Linked DNA regions of Coturnix japonica. The protein of the gene in region 1 interacts with the protein of each later gene in a pairwise test. Links are inferred from orthologs where the notes say so. Each region holds a gene or a part of one and is shown on either strand. Other genes may lie near its edges.

Evidence for each region.
Region 2: the proteins of DISC1 (region 1) and KANSL1 interact in a two-hybrid assay, tested with the Homo sapiens proteins (2 studies listed by BioGRID and IntAct). The link is inferred for Coturnix japonica from reciprocal best matches to the Homo sapiens genes DISC1 and KANSL1.
Region 3: the proteins of DISC1 (region 1) and RBSN interact in a two-hybrid assay, tested with the Homo sapiens proteins (2 studies listed by BioGRID and IntAct). The link is inferred for Coturnix japonica from reciprocal best matches to the Homo sapiens genes DISC1 and RBSN.

The regions. Positions count from the first base shown.
Region 1 is NC_029518.1:35,477,931-35,481,282, reverse strand, and holds the end of DISC1 (disrupted in schizophrenia 1 protein), read left to right. Parts: intron 1-2,524; coding exon 2,525-2,673; 3' UTR 2,674-2,842; downstream 2,843-3,352. UniProt on the Homo sapiens protein: Involved in the regulation of multiple aspects of embryonic and adult neurogenesis. Required for neural progenitor proliferation in the ventrical/subventrical zone during embryonic brain development and in the adult dentate gyrus of the hippocampus.
Region 2 is NC_029542.1:2,325,664-2,329,182, forward strand, and holds part of KANSL1 (KAT8 regulatory NSL complex subunit 1), read left to right. Parts: 5' UTR 1-57; coding exon 58-1,361; intron 1,362-3,519. UniProt on the Homo sapiens protein: Non-catalytic component of the NSL histone acetyltransferase complex, a multiprotein complex that mediates histone H4 acetylation at 'Lys-5'- and 'Lys-8' (H4K5ac and H4K8ac) at transcription start sites and promotes transcription initiation.
Region 3 is NC_029527.1:17,051,125-17,055,012, reverse strand, and holds the end of RBSN (rabenosyn-5), read right to left. Parts: intron 3,736-3,888; coding exon 2,599-3,735; 3' UTR 511-2,598; downstream 1-510. UniProt on the Homo sapiens protein: Rab4/Rab5 effector protein acting in early endocytic membrane fusion and membrane trafficking of recycling endosomes. Required for endosome fusion either homotypically or with clathrin coated vesicles.

The DNA.
Region 1 (3,352 bases):
TCCTGATGTGGATTCACTACCGCTGTAGCGTGACATTTCAGTGAGGTGCTCTCTTCAGCCACTGTAGCACTCAGCTGCTAAAGACAAGTATAATACGTAAATAAAAACTGTTTCTAATTTTTTTTTTCCTGCTCTTAATTTCCTTTCCAGATGTCCAAAATTGCTGTTATTCTTTAAAATCCCATAAGATTAACTTCCTTTATCTCATTGCTACAACCAACTTCTCAGCTGTCTTTCCAAGGCCTTTTGTCTTACATTATACTCAGTTTCTAATATTTCCTATAGGATGACAATTGTTTGGTAATATCTACTTTTTGTCTCTTTTCTCTAAACATTTGTGCTAGGAGAACAGAAGATATGCTGATGAACAACTCCCCTTCCCCCTCCCCCCTCCTTTTTTTTTTTTCTTCACTAAAAATTAAGCAACTCTACAGTCATTAGATAGATCTGCTTTTATCTTCTTGAAAATCATAGATTCTGCCATGATGTGAGCTCAAATATCCTTCCTCTGGAGGATCCTTACAGATCTTTCACAAGACTTTTTTTTAAAGAGAAAATCACATGGGCAAAAAGCTTTGAGACTACGTTACAGCATTGTAATTGCAGATAATGGATTGGATTTGTATGACATTGCTTCCAAGTACTTTAGCTTACTACTTTTGATACATTGGACAGTTTTTGCCAGTTTTTCACTGTAAGATAATAGGACCAGAACAGAATCCTTGCTGAAACTTGTTCTGGGCTCCTCACTTTGACACTGGCTTTACATTTGCAGCACTGGATAGACAATTTAAGCATGAGGGAGTCATTTACATATGGACCCATGCAAATACCTGGGTTGTTTTTTTTTTTGTTTGGTTGGTTTTGGGTTGTTTTGTTTTTGTATTTTTGGAATGAATGAAGCTGGTGATTCAGACATAACCTCCATAACATGGATAGAAATTCCATGCTCAGCCTTATGTCGTGTGATTTTTTCCTAGCCATAAGGATATGCTTGACAGTTACTGATTTGCAGCTGACTGTGGAGTTATGAGTAACACCACGCTGTTACTGAAACACAGATTTTATTGAATCTTGCTGTAGGTAAGACTATGCAGTCATCGTTCTTGTTGCCCCCATCTTTCTATTGGTTAAGAGCTTATTTTCCCATCTTCTACTCTTTTATTCATCCTCCAATTTCTCAAATGTTTCAATTTTTCATTATACCTGAAAAGAATTTTGTAATTGCTTGGGATATTACAAATAACAGCATGTAGTCAGAGGCTGCGCATCAGAAGTAATTAAATTTCAGAGGCTTCATGGTGTTCATATGTTGAAGAATTTTCAGCAGAGCCTCTTGATTGAATTGCAGAGTGGTAGACGGTCCAGGAGCACTTATAAGAGAATAATGATGTTTCTTACTTCAGAGAAGCTGCGAGGCATAATTGATTTGTCCTTGTATGGTGGCTTGAGATTCTAGGATAAGAAGTTTATTGGGTGCTGCTGTTACTGCCTGTGAGTAGTCAGAGACAGAATCCACTCACATTATTAGAGCTGTCCAGAAATTGGAAATACGCATGAATACTCCCGGTGAATGAATTAAATCATCCTACTAAATATGCATAAACACACAGAGATGAGATTTTGAGGAAGTGAAACAGAATCAAAAGCAGTGAAAAGGGTTTTCAGAGGCCTGTAACTACCTGAAGTAGTGTTGTTTTGCATGGCTTTCCTGTGGTTCTGTGTAGTCACTATTTTTCAAAGGGTAGAAGCTTACTTTTTATCATTGCATAACCTGAGTGTGTCTTTCTTTTCTTGACATTGTGTTGACATCAGGTTTGCGTAAAATAACATTTCATAACGGATGGACTCCATAAAGGATAAAGCCTGTCCTCATGCATTATTCTTCCTCTGCATTGTGTTTTTGAAAGTGAGTTGTTTCAGTGTCAACCTGTTTCACTTCCCGTGAAAAAGTGCATTTCAGGTTCTCTCATAAATCCTATTGGTGAATTACTGCTAGAGTTGAGCTTATTTCTTTTTCCCTTGAGCCCTTTACAGTTGCAATTCAGGGTCCTTGCCCTGTTGTATCTGTATAGCAGGGAACACTGGCTTCAGTACAGTTGAAAATGGCCTTAGTTTCATTCACAGAAAAGTGGTTTTTAGTTTATGTCTCTAGCTTAAAAACCCACCCTGTATCCAGCAGGAAACCAACAGCTTGTGTGGCTGCCTTCACAGTATAACATCTTCATCTCCCTCCTTCCCATGAGAACAGTATCCAAGCAGTATCCTCCATTCCCTCCCCTTTTACAAGTGCTAAATAATGCTACTTGAGAACTTTGCCTGGATTTTTTTTTTCTCTTTTCTTTTTGAAAGCAAGTGAGAGCAATGTATTAATATTTAATCCAAACAATTTGGAAGAACTTAAAGCTACAATGAGATAGCCATGGCCATCTGGTGTGAGCAGAACAACCATTTATTAAATAACTTGGAAAGAGAAAAGGAGCTGCCAATCACCTATAGAATTATTCCTTAATAAAGCTTGCACAGTCTCTGCAGAGGGAGATCCAGGTGGTGAAGGAGACACTCCAGACCGTGCTGCTGCAACTGCAACCAGCCAGGGAGGCAGGAAGAGAAAAGGCTGGAGACTTCCTCTGTGACAGCTGGTGTCCAGGAAAGCAGGACTCAAAGGAATAATGAGCAGAAAGAGCTGGTAGGATGACATTAATTCACAAAGGGCTGCTTTTAGTAACTGAATACTCTTTTACCAAGCCTCAGGGATCTCTTCCCTCTCTGCATAACTAATAACTAAATCAATTATGGAGAAACAGAGCCTGGAGGTCTATCATCAGAAGTATTCTACAAAGTCTCACATGTTTTGGCACAGATTGGGAAACAGCTTTCAGAGCAGAGCATCCCTTGTAAATGTGTAGATTACAAATTGATACATTTCAAGTGAGTCTGCAAAGCTGCCTTTAATGTCAGTGAAATGTTCTCCTTGAAGACTTGTAAACAGTATCTGTCTTCCTTACTCATGGATTTCTTCCCATTTAAAAAATGTAGTGTTAAAGCTGGAACATCTACTATTTCTCAAAAAATAGCTGTAAGTATAAGAACTTCTTTTCTTCTTTGGCTTTAACAGTTTTCTTACACTGAATGTATTTGCACATTCCTGCCAATAATTAAATCAACAGGATGAAATTCAAGCTAACCAAGTTCTTTCAAGTGAAATTTGAAGCTCATTTACACAATGGTATTGAGTACAGTAGAGGTAACTAATTGCAGCCCCTACAACATTAGATCAACTATTTTCATGAGGTATTAATATGAACTCGTTTTAGTATTACAAGGGTTGTAAAACGCACACACACACAGA
Region 2 (3,519 bases), on another chromosome or scaffold:
GCAGTGGAGCTGGCCTCGGCACCGGGAGAGGCTGGACTTCCCGTGTCTCTGTGCTGAATGGCTGCGATGGCGCCCGCTCTCACTGACGCAGCAGCTGAAGCTCACCACATCCGATTCAAGCTGGCTCCCCCGTCCTCCACCTTGTCACCTGGCAGTGCCGAGAGCAACGGCAACGCCAACAACATCCTCCTGGCTGCCAACGGCACCAAAAGGAAAGCCATCGCTCCGGAGGATCCCAGTTTAGATTTCCGAAACAGCCCCACGAAGGAAGAGCTGGGCAAGCTGCAGCCACTAGTGGCCTCTTATCTCTGCTCGGATGTAACATCTGTCTCTTCAAAAGAGCCTCTGAAGCTGCAAGGAGTCTTCAACAAGCAGACAGTCCTTAAATCTCACTCTCTGTTATCTCAGTCCTTCTTGAAAACGAGTGATCTGTTGGGGAGGCAACCGGTGTTGGAATTTACTTTGGAGAATCTGAAAACAATGAGTGCTAACAGCCAGCCACCTCTCCCGCAAGCACCTGTGAACGGCTTGGCCAAGAAATTGGCCAAAAGCACCAATTCAGACCATGAAAACTCTAGTGCTCTGAACGGTGGGAAGTGTGCTGCTCCTGCTGCCGCCCTCCAGGGCGTTGACTATAATGCAGGAGGTTCTGAATTGGGGGACTTGAAGGCCGGGTTGACCAATTGCACTCTTCCACACAGAAGCCTTGATGCGGAACGCACGACTCCTTTTAGCAATAATAGCACTGCAAACAAATCTTCCCTTAATTCCACGGAGCAGCAGCAGGTGCTGGAGGGGGGCAGCGGAGAGACCAGGTTGCCCGGGGTTGGCGGTCACTCGGACTTTGGGAGCAGTAGGTTGGAGGAGCAGAAACCTTCTCTGTCCGCCGGCCATCACAGCACCCTCGACTCGGAGATGAGGACGAGGGCTTTGCTGCGACGGCAGGCGGACATTGAGAACCGTGCTCGGAGGCTGCAGAAACGTTTGCAGGTGGTGCAGGCGAAGCAGGTGGAGAGACACATCCAGCAGCAGTTGGGCGGCTTCTTGGAGAAAACTCTGAGCAAGCTTCCAACTTTGGACCCTGTGAGGCATCGCAGCCAGCTGATGTTGACCAGAAAAGCAGAAGCAGCTTTGAGGAAAGCTGCGAGCGAGACAGTTACTTCAGAAGGTCTCAGCAGCTTCTTGAAGAGCGATTCGATATCGGAAGAACTGGAGAGATTCACGGCCAGTGGCATGGCCAACTTGAGATCCAGCGAGCAGGCGTTTGACTCGGATGTCACTGACAGCAGCTCAGGAGGAGAGTCTGACGTCGAGGAGGAGGAACTGACCAAAGCAGATCCAGAGCAGCCCCACGTACCGCTGTGAGTAGCAGTCGTGCTTTGCTTCCTTCTGGCAGGGTGAGCTGAGAGGTGACAGGTAGAGAACATGGGTGTTACAGGACGTGTTTGGATGGGCTTGGATCGAAGCAGGAAAGGTTAAGACCGGCGTGGTGTGACTGGTGGCCTGTTTCCTAGTTCAGCTCTGAAGATGTTCTTCATGCCCCCAGAGCAGTCCTGGACACGCTGTCGAGCAGCAGACCCAAAGTACTGTAAGCAGTTGTGTCTGGTTGCTTGTGCATTGGACCTGTCCTGAAACATTTCTCTTTTTGCAATGGGAACCTCTGTTGCAAACCAAGGCAGAGTTCTGTTTTATGTTTTGTTCAGCTGCCTCTGCAAGGGTTTGGTCTGAGTGCTGGTGGAAGAGTGTGCCCTCTGAGATGAAGGAAGAGGTTACTGCTGGGAATCTTCTTGTTTGTGAGTGGCATTAAATGGTGACAGCAGCCTAACGTGGTGTTAACTGGATGCTGTTTGCATTAGTATTAGCTGTGAGTTTGTGTGTGGAGGAGGAAAATCATCATCAAGGGGGGAGGCCTGGACAGGTCAAAGAACGGGAGAAATTCTTCTTCCAAAGAAAAGCATTTTTCCCCAGGAGAGTTTATTGCAGCCCTTAGGGCAGGTCTCTGTTAAGGCCGTGCCCTGTGTTTGGACTGTGTGATATGCTGCTTGCAGATGTGCTCTGTGCTGAGCTCAGCCTGTGGCTGCTGCTGACTGAAACCTCTGCAGCCCAAGCAGTCCTCAATGGAACAGGGACCTTATTGGCACCCCCACCCTATTGGGGGTTTGCTCAGATCTCTATGGATGCATTTTGATACCTGTTGTCCAAAGTGATGCTCCTGCTTGGTCTGTACTGCCATGAATTCTACTGAGTGAGGTGGGTGGATGCAATGTGTGCTCTGTAACTTGAGCATCCCCCCAAAGACCCCCTGGTGTGGATGGATGCTGATAAACACGATGCATGTTACAGCTCTCAGATACTGAATTCTAGCTAAACTTCATGCTCTGGGATGTTAGCACAGGATGGATTTCAGTATGGATTGAGCACATGTGGTGCTGGTTGGATGTAGGGGCACTGTGCCCTCGTGCTGTTAGAGATGAGTTCAGTGGTGTTACTCCTGTTTGTAATGCCTGCAGACTGTTGGGATTAGCAGCAAAACGGAGCTGATTACTATTGCAGTGACTGGAGGCAGCATTCAGCAGAGTTTTGTGTCCAAGATAATATTAAATTTCCTATATTATGAGTTTCTGTGTTGTCTAGCAAAGTGAAATTTCCTTGCCACTCATCTTAATCCCAAGTTGAAGTGCGGTATTCAGCGACACGATGCGTGAAATCCTTTGCTGACTTCTCTGCCCTCTGTGTTAGTCATGCCTGTACGTTCCCCAGCCCTCTTTAAAAGCCAAAGATTTTCAAGTCAATGCAGAGCTCTCCTTGTGTTGTGTGCGGTGTCAGATGCTGCTGTGTGTGTGTGCTGCCATCCAGGGCAGGCCCACCAACCCTGGTTTAAGCTTGATGCCTGTGGGTGTTTAGTGATTTCTCTTTGTAGCATTGACTGTCCTGTTACACGAGTGCTTTGACGTTGGGTCTTGTGAGCTCCGGTGCTGGTGAGGCTCAGTGCATATTTGTGCTTGTGACTGGAACTCCTGAAGTCAGCCCTAAGAGCTGCTGCATCCCAGCACATCTAAATAGCCGCCTTCTCCAAGCAGTCGTATGAGGCAGGAAGGGGAAAGGCTGACTTTTCCACTGGGAAGCTGCCTTGGGCAGCTCCTTGGATCTACAGAAGCATTGTTCCACGTTTGTGTGAGCAAAGAAAGCCAAGCCTTGTTGCAGGGTTGCTCCAATACGGCTGGATTTTGCAGCTAGCTGAATTTCCTTAGTCGAGGGAAGCCTTTTTTGTTACCGTGTTTATTCATAATTCCAATAGCAGACAGTATATCTTGATGGTGCCTAAAATCTTCTGTCTCATCCCTTGGTTCTGTTGCTGGCTGCTCCTTCCTTCCCCCCAGGAAACTCCTTGCAGGCTTGGAGCTCCATGGGCAGAGCAGTGCTGTGAGTGCTGCCCTGCAGCCCGCTTGCAATAAGTGTCTGCATTGCCCGTGGGATCCGAGTAGAAGCATGCAAAAGAAACAAAGACCTGTTTACATC
Region 3 (3,888 bases), on another chromosome or scaffold:
CTGGACATCTTCTACTTCTGATGCTACTGGCCCCTGCCACAGTTTTAGATCATAGTAGTTTCTGCTTTGAATGGTTTACCCTATACCTGTAACAGTATATAAATACGCAATAGCACTACACTGCTTTTAATTATTTAATTGCATTAAATCAGGCTCGTATGTGCAAATTGCTGTAGAAATAATTATCAGCATTTCTGAGCTAATGGTTGAATACAACATTTCACACCCATTTTTAAGGAATGCTTGAATTATCAAGGGCCAATACAGCACGAAATAGATGTTATTTTATCTCTCGTTTACCACATTTCTATACAGAGTACTGCATGCAATTGTACCATCTCAGCGCTAGTTACTTACTAGTTCTATAGCTGTCTTCATTTTGTTGTGCCTTGGGAGCCTCACAGCAGCCCAAATACCAGCACATGGTCTTCGCATTGGAGAGAACTTCAGTATCAGAGGCTGATGTACCGCAGTTAATGCTGTCAGCAATCGTGATGCTACTTGTACAAGTACAGTCACATGTACAGAAGGATTTTATTAATTAGGCTGAATGTACAAGTAGTGCAGGATGGTTACAACAAGGAAAACAAGCTTTTTAAATGCAAGTGCTGAAGCCACTGAAATATTCTTTTCATCTCAATACCACGAAGAGCTTTGGGTTATAATGCAAGAAGCACTCCTCTTGAGCAGCCATAGTCTGCCTTGAAAAACTGACTTGGACTATTCACTTTGAAGTGAGCAATTCTTGGGATAAATTTCATCTCAGTCATTTCTGCTGCCTTTGTACACCTGGTGCCACAGCACAGAACTATGTTTAGTTTACGGCCTTTCAGAACTCTGCTGCAGATGCTCGGCCCACTTCACAGTAACGCCTGGAGATACAGCCAACATTAACAACATGCACTGGTATAAAAAACTGAAGTCCTTGAGAAAACCCATTCTGTGCACCTTTCAACTTCAAACTGCAGTGAGAAGTACAGCTGTCCTGAAGCTGCTGTACTGAGTTATTCTGATCAGTTATTAGTCTTACTGCGGGTACATCTGTTGGTTTTGTTTGCCTTAAACAGAAGTACAGTCCTTCAGTGTATTTAAAAGAAATCTACAGCTCCTGCTGCTTAGGTAGCGTGATAATTTGTGTTTCTGAAATACTAAGTAGTGCCCCAGTTACAGCTACGCTATTCATGTGTTATTGGATACATAGTTAAGAGATGTCCCACTCCACAAAACTCTACTTCTCAGTAAGCCCACTACTATTAGAGCAAGAGAGTATGATCTGCCCAATATCCTCCTTTTCAGCTTTAATTAGATACACCTTTCTAACTAACTTCTCCCAACCACCGTTTCAAACACTTATGTCTGAAGATGGACCTCTGCCTCTCAAAGGGAGGGAATGTGGGGAAAGCAGCAAAACACACTAACTTAACACTGAACAATCCTAACTTTTATAGTACCAATCTCCAGAAGCCCTCCTGCACCACAGGAGATGGCCTTTACCCAGTCACTGCCATGGGTGGAGGCCCAAACCAAGACTCCCATCTGGACCTGCTTACTGAAGACTCGCATGCCTGGTTCTTTTAACTTCTGATGAGAATCAAATATAAAATAGGAACTTACATTTGGCACAATCACAGCCCAGCTCTCACAGAATTCCAGTTCAGTGGCACTTCAGCTCTCCAGGATTTCTGTTCTTAAAGTGCTACAATAAGGATTCAAGTCTCAGGTAAACAAATATGATCATTCTTCAACCCAGAGAGTATAAAGGAAAGTGCACATTCCAGAATATAATCAGGAATTTCAAGGTCACCCTTAATACTAGCCTGATGTTCTGGAAATGAGCATCTACATATTCATTCCTACACACGTAGCTTTGAAGCCAACGTGGCTCTCTATTACACTGCAATTTGTGCCTAGAGGGACTGGGAAACTAAAAGTAACAAGGTGGCACCTCAGTTAGAAATTGTTATAAGCACACTTTAAATGCTACTCATATTAAAATCAGTGAAGTCTCTACTAGTTTTTAAATCCATTTCATGTACTATTGCACAAAACTGACCTATGGCCTGTATATCCTGCATCTCAAAGAATCATAGCAGCCTTTCAACAGCACTTCCTTGTAACTCTCTTAGGACAGTCAGACTGGCCTGTACCTGACACTGTGCCATTAGCAGAAGATGCAGAAATTTTAGAAACACTTTTGTCTTTTCGGTCAAAGCTCCATTTGAAAAGCCAGTAGCTCAGCTGCTGTAACAACACAGTGCAAACAAGGAGGAAAGATGACAAACCAACCATAAAACAAAGTGACAGTTCCCTATTACTGCTTAAGCCTTTTGACCAAATTAAACACACAGTAAGACGAATTAGCATTAAGATGGTTGTAACAACTTATGATAAGTTTTTTTAGTATAAGTGTTCAAGACTAGCAGCGTTCCTCTTCTTTCTTCAAGGCTGAGTAGTGTTGGGAATATATAAATGAAAGCATATAAAATATAACATTCTCCCAATTCCTTCTTGTAATCTGTACTGCTGTTTATAACTGCTCCATCTTCCCATCTCTTAGCAGCGGACTTGAGGTAACTCTTACAAGGTGTGATTGCTGCTTCAACAGTTGGATTTCTCCTTTTGTTTTGCTAAAGTGTACTTCAGTTCCTTTAAGTTCTCCGTCAGTAGTTCCACCTCATCCATTCGTCCGCTATGCTTGGCATCAAATATGTAGGCTTTGATATTATCTATCTGTTGGAGAAGCAGTTCCTCGTCTATAGCCTCCTCTCTTAAGATCTCAGTTACATCTTCCACCTCAAAGGGATTGGTAGAAGATCCTTCTTCAAATGGATTTCCAGAATTCCAATTGTTCCCAGACTTCTGAAATGGATTTTCATCCTCTTCAAAGGGATTTGAAGTACTGACAGATGCTCCACTGGTCTGTTCACCTTCCTCCCCATTTTCAAATGGGTTATATTCTTTTCTGTCACTTTGCAGAGCTGTGTTAGAGAAAGAAACCGGTTGAGACACATCTTCAGCAAATGGGTTAGTGGGATCTTCCTCTGACAGAGGGGTATCTGCTTCATCTTCAAAGGGGTTTAGACAGGTTGCCTGATTTTGGTCTTTGCCACACTGTGGAGTATTCTGGTGTCTAACTGGGACGATTACGTACTCTTTGGCTGGAATCTGCTGAACAGCAGTAGTTTCAGAACTTCGGTTCCCTTTCACTTGAGTAATATCTAAATCCAATCTATGTGCTAACAAGTTCTGATTCTCTTTTGCAGCTTCATACTGATGCTGCTTGCCTTCTCTGAAATCTAAGGAGCCTGTCATTGAATGCTGAGACATGGATTTGTGGTGTTCTCTTTCCCACTCTTTTTCACAAAGGAACTGAAGTTCTTCCCTCTGCTTCTCTTCCTCTTCTGCCTGTTTTTTAGAAAGCTCAATGGCTTTCAGAGTTTGCTGTTGATCATATTCATCCTGAAGTTGCCTCAGGTTTTCTTGCAACATACGGACCTCATCCAGCCTATTAGCTGCCTTTGCTTGCTCAATGAAGGATGTGATGTTGTCAATCTGCTGAAGAAGTGGGTCTGCCACCTCACTCTGTCGAGATATGCTCGATGTAGGCAGCCAGCCTTCAGATTTCCTGACTGCTCCTTTTTTAAGGAGAGTTGCATCACCATTAACTGCACCTGCAGATCTGCATGTCAAGTCTTTCTGCTTCTCCTCTTGTTTTCTGTGTGTTTCAAGAGCTGCCTAAAACAAAAATATATGGAGAACGTGAGCTTGAAAAATTCCATTTTTAACTTTTGTATTCACAGAAAATAGTTGTCTACCTTAGATACTGCTGTCACAAACATCAACTCAGTCTTTAGTTTCTCTGAAAAAACTGTTCATTTTTGTAATACT